Linked DNA regions of Saccharomyces cerevisiae S288C. The gene in region 3 interacts genetically with the main gene of each other region. Each region holds a gene or a part of one and is shown on either strand. Other genes may lie near its edges. The genes, in order: SUL2, FRS2 and TRM732.

The links.
Region 1: mutations in TRM732 (region 3) and SUL2 together harm fitness more than expected from each alone (negative genetic interaction), as found in Saccharomyces cerevisiae (one large-scale study listed by BioGRID).
Region 2: mutations in TRM732 (region 3) and FRS2 together harm fitness more than expected from each alone (negative genetic interaction), as found in Saccharomyces cerevisiae (one large-scale study listed by BioGRID).

What each region holds. Positions count from the first base shown.
Region 1 is NC_001144.5:321,711-326,853, reverse strand, and holds SUL2 (sulfate permease), read right to left. Parts: upstream 3,311-5,143; coding exon 629-3,310; downstream 1-628. Other genes in the region: NYV1 (Nyv1p), read left to right, coding at 1-341; GEP5 (Gep5p), read right to left, coding at 3,676-4,557; XDJ1 (Xdj1p), read right to left, coding at 4,774-5,143. UniProt on the Saccharomyces cerevisiae protein: High affinity uptake of sulfate into the cell.
Region 2 is NC_001138.5:92,913-96,861, forward strand, and holds FRS2 (phenylalanine--tRNA ligase subunit alpha), read right to left. Parts: upstream 2,099-3,949; coding exon 587-2,098; downstream 1-586. Other genes in the region: BUD27 (prefoldin-like protein), read left to right, coding at 1-464; GAT1 (Gat1p), read left to right, coding at 3,054-3,949.
Region 3 is NC_001145.3:783,982-790,737, forward strand, and holds TRM732 (tRNA methylation protein TRM732), read right to left. Parts: upstream 4,903-6,756; coding exon 640-4,902; downstream 1-639. Other genes in the region: ROY1 (Roy1p), read right to left, coding at 1-300; TIF11 (translation initiation complex factor eIF1A), read right to left, coding at 5,397-5,858; TPS3 (trehalose 6-phosphate synthase/phosphatase complex subunit), read right to left, coding at 6,224-6,756. UniProt on the Saccharomyces cerevisiae protein: Together with methyltransferase TRM7, methylates the 2'-O-ribose of nucleotides at position 32 of the anticodon loop of substrate tRNAs.

The DNA.
Region 1 (5,143 bases), on a different chromosome or scaffold from region 3:
AATACCGTAACCAAACTTTAAATAGTTCTGGAAATGGCCAATCTAGTAATGGGAATGGTCAGAACACTATAAGTGACATCGGGGATGCCACCGAAGACCAAATAAAGGACGTCATCCAGATAATGAACGATAACATCGACAAGTTCTTGGAGAGACAAGAAAGAGTTTCTTTATTGGTGGATAAAACTTCCCAACTAAATAGCAGCAGTAATAAATTTAGGCGCAAAGCGGTCAATATAAAAGAAATAATGTGGTGGCAGAAGGTCAAAAATATTACGTTATTAACTTTCACTATTATACTATTTGTAAGTGCTGCTTTCATGTTTTTCTATCTGTGGTAAGTAAATAAAAAAAAAGGGGAGCTGTCCCACGACAATAACATTAATAACGGTTGTATTTCTTTTGTTCCTGAGAGGAAGAGAAAAATAAAATAAAAATAAGGTAAATATTTATAGGTATGTATATGCTCACGATGGCACCATCCTACCTATTATTTCTTATTATATAAACAGTGTCTATCTCATTATGATATTAAATGTATACTTTTAAGGGGGAAAACTTTTTGGTTTAGGAATATAGAAAAAAAGAGATGATATAAATGTTTGCATGTCCATTGTAAATGCATTGGCTAGATATCCCATTTAGCAAAATCTGGGATATCGATATGGAAGAAAGGTAGATTTGTTCCTGAAGCGGTATAAACGCTATATTTTTCAGGATTTTCTTCGCCTTGAGGTACTCTGGCGACGTGATAACTTGTATGACCGGCAACAATGGATTCATCACTGTATTCTTCGTTCAGAGTACCAAATCCTCTGCTAATTAAACCTCTCTTCACCCATGGTGAAATGATACCCACAAAGTGGAATTCAACTTGCCTATCTGCATATTGATTTATGGCCTTTCTCAAATCAACCAATGATTGAAGAGCCGTAGCGTCTGTCTGTGCCACTTGTGAGAAGTCTAAGCATAGTATTTTCAGCAATGGCCTGTCATCTCTTTCAACATCGACTGAGGTGCTGGGCGCGTTTTCCATGGATTCAGGGTCGTTCTCCCTTTTCTTCCAGAATTTCAAATTCTTTAAGAAAGCAGGTGCTTCCCATGGACCAGGATCATTCCATGGACGGTCAGATTTTTTTCTGTGGCGAATTAATTGACCACGTCTGGTAACTTTTTTAACTTCTTCGGTTATGATGTTGTAGTGTCTGGAACAGTTGAGATAGGTGTAGCTCTCTGATAGCCTATAAACAAGAACACCGTCTGGTGGGGGGAGAATCTGAACGTCCGGGTTCAATTCTCTTGTGTATTTATGATCAAACGGTATCCATTTAGTATGGTATTTTATCCTTGGCTGGCTAATCGAAGAAGATGGAGAATCAAAGCCCTTTGTTTGAACGTTTGTTTCTATTTTCTTGGAGGAATTTGTGACGTATTTGGTGGAACTTTCCTTGTCATCCTCACCACCATCTTCTAAAGTGGAAATACCATTGTTATTTTCAGACACGTAGCTAACCACATCGGAGTCCGGTCTGACGTAAGCATCAGTAACTTCAGCGACTTCCACACGACCCAAGAATTTTCCCGCTGGGAAAGCCACTTTTAAAATGAGCATTGCACATGACCAGCACATGGCAAAATAAATACCATCTTCAATAGAGGCAAATACCGTTATTAGGACGGTGACAATGAAACAGATGAAGTCCAATGGATTCATCTTCCAGAAATTCCAGGTAGTTTGATAAGAGGCCAAAAGATCAGATACAGCGTGAATGATAACTGCAGATAAGGTAGCCTTTGGAATGTAAAAGAATGCGCCGGTCAAACAATATAATGCTAAAAGAACACATGAACCCGAAAACAAACCAGATAACGGCGTACGGACATTACATTTAGCCTTCAAAGCAGACCTTGAAAAGGAACCAGTCGCTGGGTAAGCATTGAAGAAAGTACCTAAAAGGTTCGAGACACCAATAGCAATCAATTCTTGGTCGGGGACGACTTTATAGTCGTTGATTCTACCAAAAGACTTCGAAATAGCGATATGCTCCAACAATAACACAATAATGGATGCAGGCAAATTTGGACCAAGCTTAGACATTAATCCTGGTGGAACATGGAAAACCCCGACTTCTTTCAAACCGGATGGAACTGAGCCTAGGATGCTGATGGGCCTCTCCGATTTAGATTTGCCTCTTGTGATTGCCCAACCAATACAAGTGAATACAATAATAATGATACCATTTCTGGAAGCCTGAGCGTAAAAATATGTCCATTTGATAATTTTGTGTAACCTTGGGTTTTTGGAGTTGTATCTATCGTTCAACCTTGGTCCATATGTTCCGCACCACCATTTCCAAACATAAAGAAGGAAAAGCGGGATTAGCCCAAAAACTGCGTCCAGTTTGGTATCTGGTAAATGTTTCAAGGTCTCTATGACCACTTTATAGGTGGCAGCTCTCGTGTTAACCAAACTATTGTAACCCATTAGTGCTGGAACTTGACCCCATAAGATATTAAACGCGGATCCAGTCATAAATCCAGCGACTGCATTTAAGGAAATCAGTTCGACAAGAAACCCTAGACGCAAGAAGCCAACTGCTGCCGAAATGATACCACATAGTAACGCTAGAGTCGTTGCAATAACGGGACCAGTTATGGCAGAATCTCCATCAGGATATTTTGCCGTGACATCCGCAATGACTTTGGCGGTCTGCAAAGACATGACAGCCACGGGCCCAATACAAACATCTTTTGATGTAGCGAAAAAAGAGTAGGAGTAAGCACCAATAAACGAGGAGTACAACCCATACTGCGCTGGTAGCGTGGCGACTTGTGCATATGACATGGATTGCGGCACGAGAACACAGCCAATGGTAATTCCTGCAATAAGATCCGCAGTAAACCAGCTAAAATTGTAATGTGGTAGCCAGTTGATGATGGGAAAAACACTCTTAAGATAACTACATGCTCCTTTCACCGTGAGATGAGATCGTATACTGTGGTCATAGTACTCTTTTAGCGATACCGTTGTTTCTTCAAATTGGGAAACGGAATTGTCATACAACGAGACATCTGAAGGATTAAAGTAGTCAATCTTCGAGCCTTTTACGCCCTTTGAGCTGTTCACTGCGTTGTGCTTTGCTACAGAATTGCTCTCTAAGTCCTTATCATTAAACGTGTCATTATTTTCATTATTTTTATATTGGTCATACTCTAATTCTAAATCATCAAGATCTGGAACGGTGTTGTTAGTTTCCTGAAAGTCAGGAATTTCTACCTCTTCAAAGTTTGGATAACCTTCCCTGGACATATCTTAGATAATTCCCTGCTAATCTATACACACACACACCTCAAGAAAGAAAAATGTTACAGAAAGATAAAAACTTCCAGGCTTTAGTACGAGCCTAACCTGTTCAAGTATTGTGTTGATACCTTGATATATATATATATGCGTATTATTGAACGCAGAACACTGAACGGCAGATCATCCCTCAACCGGCTATGACTAAAAACTGGACTTTGGTTCAACCATACCGCTATCCGACGTTGCTAGTTTCTGCGATCTTTTTCAGTCCTTGTTTAGGACCACAACTGTGGCCGAATTTCTCTCTTCACGTGACCTGACACGGCCACAGTGGCACGTGACATTTACTCCAGTATAACAGCCAACAACAACTAATCAACTTCCCACCGGGTGCAATGAAACATCAAAGGCTCCGTGGTGGAGTCGGCATTAGTAGTCGTATATGCCCTTGCACAAGCTCGCATATAGAGCCTTCTAAGGCGTCGCTCTACAGTCTCGTCATAGAAGACGGCAGTCAATGCCAGCTCGTTCTCAGGAGAGAGCGGGGGGTTTTCTATGAAGAGGCTCTTGTAAATATGAGACAGCTGTCTTGCGAAAAGTTGGGCAATTTGTTTGGCCGGAGAAACTTCGCCAAGAGCGTTCCTGACAGGAATTTGCACGCCAGGGGAGGGGTATTTTTTGTGATTGTAGCTTAGATGACTGTTCGCTATTAAAAATTTGTAGTGGTTTCCAAGAGAATTTATCAGGAATATCCTCTCTGGTGTGAAGGTATCAAGATCTGTCCCACTCAGACGCATTAACGATGGCGGCGTTTGGACCCAAGGGTTTTTAACGTTAAACAGTGTTATCCAATCCGCCTTCAGCCAGACGCTCCTTGAAGACGTTGAATTTAGTTTCCCATTGTTTACAGCGATGGAATCTACCAAGTCTCTGTGGTTCTCAAATGGCCAGTGAGTCAGTAGAAAGTGGTAGTGTTTTTGGAAGAGATGCGCATGTCGTGGGAGCGGGTTATTCCATTGGAAGTGCGTTTGGTAAATGATACTCTCCAGTGCTTTTAAGCTTGCCCTTAAATCTTGTCTTCTTTGCGCCTTCTCGTACAGTTGTAGTGATTTTGTTAACGGCACGGCTATTTCTTTGAACTTGTAATCGCTTTGTTTACTTGTGAGTGTGGTCGTCAATGCTACCTTGGTTATTTGATGAAGCGGCGTAGACTCTATGACCGGCAGTAATAAGGCGTTAACCTGGGACGCCATTGTTGCTCCAAGTTCGCAATCGCTGTTCTGATAGAAGGCCTTTGTATGCTTGCTTTATGTCCGCCGCGATGGGGATTCTTCCTATTTTTCTACTGAAGGTGCGAAAGACTTCATTCTTCACCGCATTCAGTAAATGAATTTCATATATATACATATATACAGGTAGGATAACTTATGAAAAAAAAAAAAAAATAGAATAAAAAGTTATTGATGCCATCATTGGATACAGCAGTACGAACTTCTTGCTTTCTGATGCGCTGAATCCTGTGCTTCTGGCTTGAACGGCCTTATCCCTTCTGGAAGATCGTCCGTGTGAATGATCCGGAAATTTGATATAGTTTCGTTGTTAGTCAGGTTGCTGTCATCTTCAGTATTTACAGTCGCATGTGAGGCACAAGATGAAGATGACGGCAGATTCGTTTTTATTGCTAGTAGTTCTGATTTTTCATTGAACCAGTTATCTGGTGGAAATTCAATATGAACGAAAACATACAGATCGCCGCACCGGCCATGAGGGTTATCTAAAATGGGCCAACCTTCATTGGCGATTTTGATGGTGTCACCAGGTCTTACTACTCTGCCAGGT
Region 2 (3,949 bases), on a different chromosome or scaffold from region 3:
GTGGAAACTTGGATGATATGGTCAAGGCATATTCATTGGGGTTATATGACGACGATTTAGAGGAAGATCCAGGAACCATAGTGGAAAAGCTCGAGGATTTCAAAGAATACAATAAGCAGGTGGAGTTGCTGCGTGACGAAATTCGAGACTTTCAACTAGAAAACAAGCCAGTGACGATGGAGGAGGAGGAAAATGATGGCAATGTTATGAATGATATCATTGAGCATGAATTTCCTGAAAGTTACACAAATGACGAGGACGAAGTAGCACTACATCCGGGCCGGCTACAGGAAGAGGTTGCTATAGAGTACAGACGGTTGAAAGAAGCTACCGCGTCGAAATGGCAATCATCATCACCCGCCGCACACACTGAAGGCGAATTGGAGCCTATTGATAAGTTCGGGAACCCGGTCAAGACAAGTCGTTTCCGCTCTCAACGGCTCCATATGGACAGTAAACCATAACCCATATGGAGACAGAAAGTAAATCAGAATCTATATTAACATATACGTATATATTTGTTTTGTGTACAATAACTACTACAAAATTGGGGACAGACGATATAAAACTAGAGGAACTGCTGAGCTTATTCGTACAAGTCTTCGTCCAATCTAGCAGCAGGATTGGTTTCGATAAAGTCCAAAGAGACTTTATGACCTAACAGTTCTCTGATGTTTTGAACCTTATATTTGATCATGGTAGGTCTTTCCAAGGATAACCCCCAACCAAGGACTCTTAGATCCTTTGGTAGACCCATGGACTCGAGCATTTCTGGTCTGAACATACCAGAGTTACCGATTTCGACCCATTTTTGCAAACCTTCGTGCCAAGAAAAGATTTCCATTGATGGCTCGGTGTAAGGATTGTAGGTAGGCTTGAATCTCAAACCGGTGACACCCATTCTTTCGAAAAACTCTTCCATGAACTTGATCAGGTCACCCAGAGTAATGTTGTAGTCGGCAAGAACACCTTCCACCTGGTGGAATTCGGCCAAATGGGTGGCGTCAACTGCTTCGTTACGGAAAACACGGTCGATAGAAAACAATCTGGTGGGCTTTGGATCTTTGGCCAAATCGTGCAGCATTCTGGCAGAGATGGCTGTGGAGTGAGTTCTCAAGACCAATTTTTGACATTCTTCTGGCTTCCAGTTGTAACGATAACCGATGGACCCGAATCTCCCCTGTTCGTGAACGGCTTTGATATTGTCCATGTATGTCTTGTCATCGGGCAAGTCAGCGGTTAGTGGGTCCTTGATGTAGAAAGTGTCTTGCAGGTCACGAGCAGGATGCTGTTGTGGGACGTAAAGGGCATCGAAGTTCCAGAAACCTGTCTCGACGTATTGGTTCGAGGGCATCTCTGTGAATCCCATGGAAAAGAAAATTTGTCTAAATTCCTCTCTGACTTTGTTTAAGGGGTGAAGAGCACCTGAAGATATTTGCACACCTTGAGAATTGAAATTGTAAGGCTTGAACTTCAAGTCCTTGTATGCATTGGTGGAGACCATGTCGGAGGTAAGATCGGTTTCCAATTTGGTGAGGTCGGTCGAGAACTCTGGCCCTTTGGTAACGTTGAAATCTGTGATTTTACCTTGAGCAATTAACTTTCTTTTCTTCAAGTCGTTCAAAATCTTGGCGTCAATGCTATCCAGATGCGAGTTGTTCTTGATTTGCGCTAGAATAGATTGCGTTTCATCAGTAAGCTCATTTAAATCGGTATTTTGCAATTTTGCGGAGAGTTCAAGCTCGTTTGAGGCGTTTTTGGCGATCCAGCCGTTCTTGAAAGCTCTAGCCTGACCGACCTTACCAACTTGAGGACCCAGTTTGGACATCACATCTTTGATTTGAAGTTGACCCAACTCTTGGATGAGCTTGACTAGTTTAATTTCGTACGAACCTTCATTCAAAATTTGAGCACCTTCTTTGGTCAAGTCATACGTAACCGTGTCGACCTTGGAAAACTCTAACTTGTTGTGGGCTTTCAAAGAGTTCAAAGCGGAAAGAACATCTTGAGAGCCGTGCTGAGGGAAAGTTGCCAGTGTGGACTTGATCTCATCCAATTCATCTAGTTTTTTTAGAATTTCTAATTGGAAGTCAGACATCTTTACGTTAGGGGGTGAGAGAGGGAGGGGGGTGCCTTTAATGTATATATACGTAAGATATATATATATATGTATATATATGGAAATGTATTCACAACTTTACATGTGCATTAACCACAAGTACTGCGTACGTTCAAGATTACAGCAATGCGTTTTATTAATTTTTCAAGCATTTTTCACGTAGAGAGGAACAAAGTTTACTGAAAAGAAAAGAGGTAGAGAAAAACAGAAAAATTTTTTTTTTCTGTTTTTCCTGCCTCTTTTCTTTGTTTGATTCAATATGGTCGACCGGGTAAACCCCTGATAAAACGATACCAAAGCCGGGTCACCTAACTTATGGCCAAATGCGACCGGTCCCGCTTTCCGATTTTAGCCGGCGAAGACGTACTTGGCGCCATAATCAAAACCTAGCTTGCCCAATACTTCTGAGTTCTACGTGGTGCAAAAATATTTTTTTTTTTTTGAAAAACCTACCCTATTTCATTATAGATGCATCCATCAGTATTACGGTGTCCTCACACAACCCTGTCTCTGCACAACGTAATACCTCCTTTTCCCGTCTGCTAGCTCTCATTTCGCGGTAATCCAACTTCAACCAGCAACCCGGATCTTCTATACGCAGTCCGGTGTGTGGGTGCATGACTGATTGGTCCGGCCGATAACAGGTGTGCTTGCACCCAGTGCCCAACGTCAACAAAGCAGGAACAACGGGCTGATAAGGGAGAAGATAAGATAAGATAAGATAACAAATCATTGCGTCCGACCACAGGCCGACACATAGCAGAACGATGTGAAGCAGCGCAGCATAGTGTTAGTGCCGGTGCAGCTACCGCTGGTATTAACAGCCACCACAATACAGAGCAACAATAATAACAGCACTATGAGTCGCACACTTGCGGTGCCCGGCCCAGCCACATATATATAGGTGTGTGCCACTCCCGGCCCCGGTATTAGCATGCACGTTTTCTTTCCTTTGCTTTTCCGCCCTTCCCCTGTTCTGTTCATCGCATGTGCATATATATATATAGATATATATATACATTGTACACGGTGCACGGTAGTGAACATAACTATGAGCACGAACAGAGTCCCGAACCTCGACCCGGACTTGAATTTAAACAAAGAAATCTGGGACCTGTACTCGAGCGCCCAGAAAATATTGCCCGATTCTAACCGTATTTTGAACCTTTCTTGGCGTTTGCATAACCGCACGTCTTTCCATCGAATTAACCGCATAATGCAACATTCTAACTCTATTATGGACTTCTCCGCCTCGCCCTTTGCCAGCGGCGTGAACGCCGCTGGCCCAGGCAACAACGACCTCGATGACACCGATACTGATAACCAGCAATTCTTCCTTTCAGACATGAACCTCAACGGATCTTCTGTTTTTGAAAATGTGTTTGACGACGATGACGATGATGATGACGTGGAGACGCACTCCATTGTGCACTCAGACCTGCTCAACGACATGGACAGCGCTTCCCAGCGTGCTTCACATAATGCTTCTGGTTTCCCTAATTTTCTGGACACTTCCTGCTCGTCCTCCTTCGATGACCACTTTATTTTCACCAATAACTTACCATTTTTAAATAATAATAGCATTAATAATAATCATAGTCATAATAGTAGTCATAATAATAACAGTCCCAGCATCGCCAATAATACAAACGCAAACACAAACACAAACACAAGTGCAAGTACAAACACCAATAGTCCTTTACTGAGAAGAAACCCCTCCCCATCTATAGTGAAGCCTGGCTCGCGAAGAAATTCCTCCGTGAGGAAGAAGAAACCTGCTTTGAAGAAGATCAAGTCTTCCACTTCTGTGCAATCTTCGGCTACTCCGCC
Region 3 (6,756 bases):
TTTTAAATGCGATGTCTCCAACAACCTTTCAATTCTATCATATAAAAATATGTCATTCTTGTCACCGGTTTTCAGAACAGATCTATAACCACTTACATAAGTTTTTCCCCCGTCCAAAAACCATTTGTTTGTTCTTAAAACAGGATTCTTAGTTATGTGAATATTGCTATAAAGACGAGGGATTGCAATCATGTCATGCATTTTTTTGGATGTTAGACTTAGGCTTAATAAATCATTTTGATTAAGAAATAAGGAGGCATGCGAGAACACTATGAATATATCTTGATCTTGGAATGCCATTTGTCAGTATTACTTTTGTTATATCATGTGAGCACAACTGTCGTTTTCACAATAGTTCAAATTGACTAGAGAGTTAGTAAAGGGGTACAACTTGCTTTTGTAATAGGGCACACCTTTAATTTTCCATCCATGAACATTTTTCAACAAAAAAAGAGGTGGAAAAAATTCAAAAGAAAATGACAACGGTAAAGAAATTAAATCAAGTTCCATCATTGTATTTAGAATAGAAATCGACATGCTTTGTAATAGGTTCCACAATGAATCTCGTCACTAAATCCACAAGTAGGTTAGAGATGAATCAGATTATATGCAAAGTATATATCTGTACATATTCATTATTTATAATTGGGAATAACTGATAATTAGGGGATGAACAGAATGTTTAGTCAGAACATTGATAAAATTCTCATAATCAGAAGGAGAATAATGTTGAATCAGTTCCTTTAAAAGCGTTATTCTTGAAAATATTTCAGCATTAGAGCACCAGCCGAGTGGGGAATCTTTAAAATCCTCGGTGTTGAAGTGCTCCAATAGAGCACTTTTTAGGTGATGTATCTGGTCTTTGTAACACTTTGAGATATCCCTTCCAGTCAATTTTATCATATTTAATATATGCATTGCCTTTTGTAGTTCGTTGATGAACTGGTTATCCTTTTCTATAGTAAATAGACAATTCTTCGCCGATTCTTCGGCAGCAAACATATCATATTCATTTAGATATTGAAACAACTGTAAACACAACTCTTCTACCACCTCAGAACTTGTGAATACGTCAACAAACTTTTTTGTGAATATAAGAGCGGTCACACTGGTGTTCCTGTTATATTCCCAGTCTGCAGTTTGAATAAAGTTCTTATTCAAATAAAAAGAAGCCTTTTCTCTTATTTCAGAATCATCGTCCCATAAGAAGTTGTACAGTTGTAATAGTATTCTGGAGTTCTTACAACTTTCTGGATAAGCAGTTAAACATTCTAAAGATGCCAATCTAAAATCTTTTGAACAAGAATCGGCGAAAAATCCTTGTAACAAGTTCCATACCTGGTGAAAGGTTTGCGAAGACAATTTAGCACTTAGTGATGAAACGGCAGCAAGTTTTGTATCTTCACTATTATTTGTTTTTAGGAGATCAGTGCAGGTCGTCAGGGATAAAGTATTCTTTTTTCTTGAGAGAATTTTCACTACTAAAGCTTTAGCCATAGGCAGCAAATCTGGAACCCTGAGTAATAATTGTAGTTGTTCAAGAAATTCTGAGTTTCTTGTAGTTTCCCAGTGAAAGTTAGTATTCATGTACTGTAGTGTACTGAGCTGAGCCTCATAAAATGGAGAATACAATCCTAATAAGCAAATATCATCGAGATATATACTATCCTCATATTTTAAGAGCATGTCTAAGATTTGTGCAAGATATAGCTGTTTGCTACCATCCACAACATATTCGTTATTTTCAGCAATAAATGTGTTCCGCAAAGTGCTGATATAATCTTTTAAAATAGAATCAGGTATGTCGCATGTTTCCAATATACAGCAGGTCAATTTTAAGTAGGCCTTTTTAGTGATAAAGCACTTGTTCTCTAGTAGAAGCATCCTTTTCTTTTCAAGTATCCTTTGAATCAACTCCATATCTCTAGTTCCTGAAAGGTATTGTGGTACTAGTTGTTGGAGTGCTAGTAAGTGTCCATGTAACTGGTTTTGCTTCGCGATAGAAGCCAAGTCAAGTAATTTTCTTATCTCTTCTTCAAAATTTTCCGACAGCATATGCAATACTCTAGAGGCCATATCTCTGATCTTCCAGTTCTCATTTGATAAACATTCATAAACAGAAACGTTGAATTCTTTTAGACCAGTATAGCCAGCTGTAGGCCGTAACCTCAGTAGCACATTAAGGACCAAGAAAATGCTTTCAATTTGATATGATTTTCTTTCACTTCCCGAATATTGAGCAATAGAACTGTTTAGAATATTCAAAAGCAGTTGCCTCAAGCCAGAATATTTGGTAAAGAATAATTTTGCACTAACGCTTCTGCCCACTTTTCCAAAAATTCTATTTTGCAAGGAGGTAAACAGCATGATAGAACAGTTTCTTAGAGCCCATATATCACAGTCGAAATTCAATAAAGCTAGTTCTAATGCCTCTGAGACAAATGACGTACAGTGTACAGAGAGCTTCGGTTCAACAAAGATTGCGTTTATACAATTAATAGCATTAACCTGTGGTAAATCAAACTCATCTTGATGGGGAGGAATTGGTAACCTTGCAACGAGTAGTAAGTTTTCAAAAGTTTTTTGTAACAAAGGTCTCCCTTTGGTAACTTCTGCACTTAAGACGGTTGTGACCAAGAAAGGCAAGCCTCCTGACCTTCTTGTAATATGTTGAGTTTTGGATTTTAAAGATTTTACACTCTTGCTTAAAAGTTCTTCCAGAATAGCGGGAAATTCAAGTTGACAACGAATACAAAATGCCTTTAGCCCCGGTAAAACGGCTTGGAAGGCGCCACTATGACGAATAGTAGAAAGCTGAACAATAAAAAGATCGCCGATACTGTCTAATTGATCTCTTGTTAAAGGGTATTTTTTTAATATTGTTTCAAGTAAATATGATGCTTCTTTTATCGCCCTAAATGCGTGACTTATTATAACTTGGTCCGGTACACCACAATTAGCATATTTTTCAGGTAGTATTCCATGGGCAGAATCATGACACACTACATTTCTCGTTGCTTCCCAGCTCTTGAGTACAAGATTTATTAATTTTGAGATTATTTTTGAAGTATCTTGATGGTTTTCTTCAGAGTTAAACTTATTCAAAATCAAGCTTAGTGCAGCAAAGTGAGGACCGATTGAATTTTCTGCACAACCAATGCTGTCATTTTGCAAATTTTGTACCATCTGCGCTAATATATCAATTGTCTGGTCAATGAAGCTTCTTTGAGAGCCCATGACTGTGAATATGAACTCATATACGGTAGCTCCAGCATCACCTTTCTCATAGTCACTTAAAAGAGAGGTTGCAGTCCACTTCAAAGCATTTGCGTCTAAGGTATCCAAAAAAAGACCTCTAGATTCATCAGCGCTTATCATTATAAATAGCATTTCTTTAGATAATTCGCGCACGTCAGCATAATTACTAACCAAAAGGTCAATGAGCAACCTTAAAAATGTGACATCCTGTAAAATTGGGATAGAAAAAGGATATTCCCTCTTATTTTGGTTGTCTAAAAATTTTTGTGGAGTAGATTTATCAACACCAGACTTGATCAGAATGTGCATAAGTTTTAATGAGGTCACGTTCGCCTGATATAAAGTACCAGGGGCCAAATTATATTTTATAAAATTGCATAGCCAAACCAAAAAGGCTCTAGCCTCCTCAACTTGCGCCAACTTTTCCCTCTGTTCGTCCGGAAATTTCTCAGCCTTTTTAAGCTTTCTGGCATCCCTAGCTAAAGAGTATGCGCAGTCTCTGGTTCTAAATATAAAGTGTTTCATCGAACTGCAAAAGTAATTTCTGCGTTCAAGTTCAGTGTCCACGAAGAACACATATAGGTACTGTTTTATAGTTTTGAAGACGAAGGGACGAATAGGCTTTGACTTTTTTGTCGAAAAGGTCAGTATTTCAAATACCTGAAGTTTATACTCATCTTGCTCTATGAGTTTGTTAACAGAATCTACAGTGGTATATTTATTATCACAAAATGGTTCTTCTTCAATCCCCAATTCTTGGCCAATCTTTAAAAGTGAGAGCAAAAGTGATGGGTCTTTGTTAGACATACATTCTAGGAAAAGTGTGAAGGCCGAGTTTGGCATATTTTTGAATAATGGAATCATAATATACAGATTAATGGATTTGGTGTATTGTTTGTCGTGAATGTACTTTAAAGCACAACTTTTCCATAATTGTATCCATTCTTGTACAAAAGACTCGTTCTTTTTGAAATGCTTTTCGTAAATGTTTAACAGCAAACTAACAATGCATTTACCTACCGAATTTGCTAGCAAATCAGAGTTCATTAATGAAAAAGAGTTATCGATGAAATGAGGCTTTTTTTCTATAATATAATAAAGGTCAAAATCAGAAGAAAGGGCATCAATCAAGTAATACTGAACACGCAACGTAGATGGTACTTCTAATATTTCATTCATCCAATTAAATAAAACATCCTTCAAGGTTGACATAGGATATGTGATTTTCAATAAGTTCAGTAGTTTACTGAATAAATCTCTCAAGGCATTCATCAGTGGGGCTCCACCATCAGCCCAAAAGTCAAGAACATATTCAAAGATAATATTTGCATTCGCTTCAGTTAAGAGTTGCTCTTTTACCGCCGATAAAAATTCTTGAGAGTCAATTTTTTTGCTTGCAATTATTTGATGGCTCCTTAGTAAACAGATCGAAAAGGTATCTGGAAAAATTAACCTTGTGGACTCATTTAAGTTCGGTAATCCGTCCTTGATATACTGTATTAAATACCTGAAATCATGCTCAATCTGAGTTAAAACAGCATCCTTATTTTCATTGTTGATCTTTGCTGGATTATTAGCAATCAAGAATTCTTTGACACGGAAAAGCTCGATTTCCTGACTTGAAAATTGCACATCCGTAGTCATTTTTTGAAACTTTCAGTATGAAGTAATGTGTACCTCGGGAAGCTCACAATAGTATTGTCATTTTCCTGCGATGAGCATTTTCTGGTAAAAATTTATTTTAACTTTTCATTTTCTTTTCAGTCTAAAAAAGTAAATTTTCGATGGAAAAAACGGAAGCACTCATGAGTGACAATAAACAGCATCGAAAGAAAAGGTAATAAATTAAAAACGATGAATGGATAAAACGTATTCGCAACGTGCTCTTTGCTCAAATTTCTCGTGCGAGAAAATTTTTATTACGTCTCCTTAACGTCCGCTTGAAAGAAACCCTAGAAGGAAGATTAAACGACTTCTTGAGGTATTTCATTTTTATTCTTTTTTTGATATCTATATATAAGTATTTCGATATAGTAAAAAGAAAACCCTTTCCTATGATGGACTAAAAAATATAATTATAAATAAATTATGAATAGTTGACGCATTAGAAGATATTGAGGACACTTGTTCGGCCTAAATTAAATGTCATCAATATCAAGTTCTTCATCTTCACCTTCCTCATCATCTTCATCAGCGTTACCAAATTCAAAGTTAACGTCTTCATCAGATTCGAAACCAAAGTTGTCTGTTTCATTAATTTTGGCGTTTTCAGGAAGTTCACCTTGGTTTTTCAGTGTTCTGGCTTCATCTAAATTATATTTGTGGACAACATCACATTGGTCATCTTGGAAATCTCTTAAGGAAACAAGAATAATATCACCTTGTCCCATCCAGACTTTCTTTCTTAACTTACCTCTAATATGGGCCATTCTCTTATTACCATCAAAGCAACTGGCTTCGACTCTTCCATTACCCAACATCTTGGTGATTTGAGCATATTCTTGGCCTTCTTCCTTATAAATAAGTTCACGCTTTGGACCGTCAGAGTCGTTCTTACCTCTTCTACCTTTTTTACCACCTTTAGTGTTTTTCTTACCCATGATGAACTTTGCTCTATATTACACTAGTGCTTTTGCAAGTACACCTTCTACATAAGTAAAGGTTTCTTTCAGCAAACTAAAATTGAAGCTTTTTTCAATTTTTCACTATTACTTCTTGCGGCGAAAACAAAAATGAAAAAAAAGTGAAAAATAGCGTTCGTGTATAATGATTATTATAAGATCTCATTAACAATATGAGAAATAACCCACATTGTTAGTTGAAACTTGTTTGTAATTTATCGTGCTGTATATACATATATACGTAAAAGGAAGATCGTACTTTTATATTTATAATCGCTCGTAAAAACTATAACTGAAGAATAAGAAAGAGAACATTTTGAAAGTACAGGAGGGAAAATGATCGCTTAGGCGGCTGTCAAGTCATGAAGGATGGTAAAAAGTTCATTGACACCATTGATATGTTCCTTGGCATAAGTGGATCTTGAGCTACCGTAAAGAATGGTGTAACCAAATTTTAGATTGTTCTTTTCAACCTCTTGCTTCACTAATTTAAATAATGGTTCAATAATAGGTGATGTCGAACCGGAAACGCAAACGAAATCTACCTGGTTTTGGAAATGCTTCTTATTATTACCGACGGACATCGAAGAGGATGTTCTTGATAGAGATATTCTGCTATTGTCAGTAGGACTGACGCCACTGTTGTAAAATTTCATCAAAAACTCAGCGGCGGCTAAGGCTAGCCCCGTTTGTTGAACGAAGACAATATCCTTATGCACATAAGCGTGAATATCCCTGTCATCAAATAAGGTGTTTATGTGCGTAATGGCTTCCCCAATAACAGTTGGGACTCGATCTTGATCATCAGCGTTTTCTGTATGGAATCTGATCATAGAATCAGCGATTTTGTAGTATGAACCAGGTAACCTCTCGACTT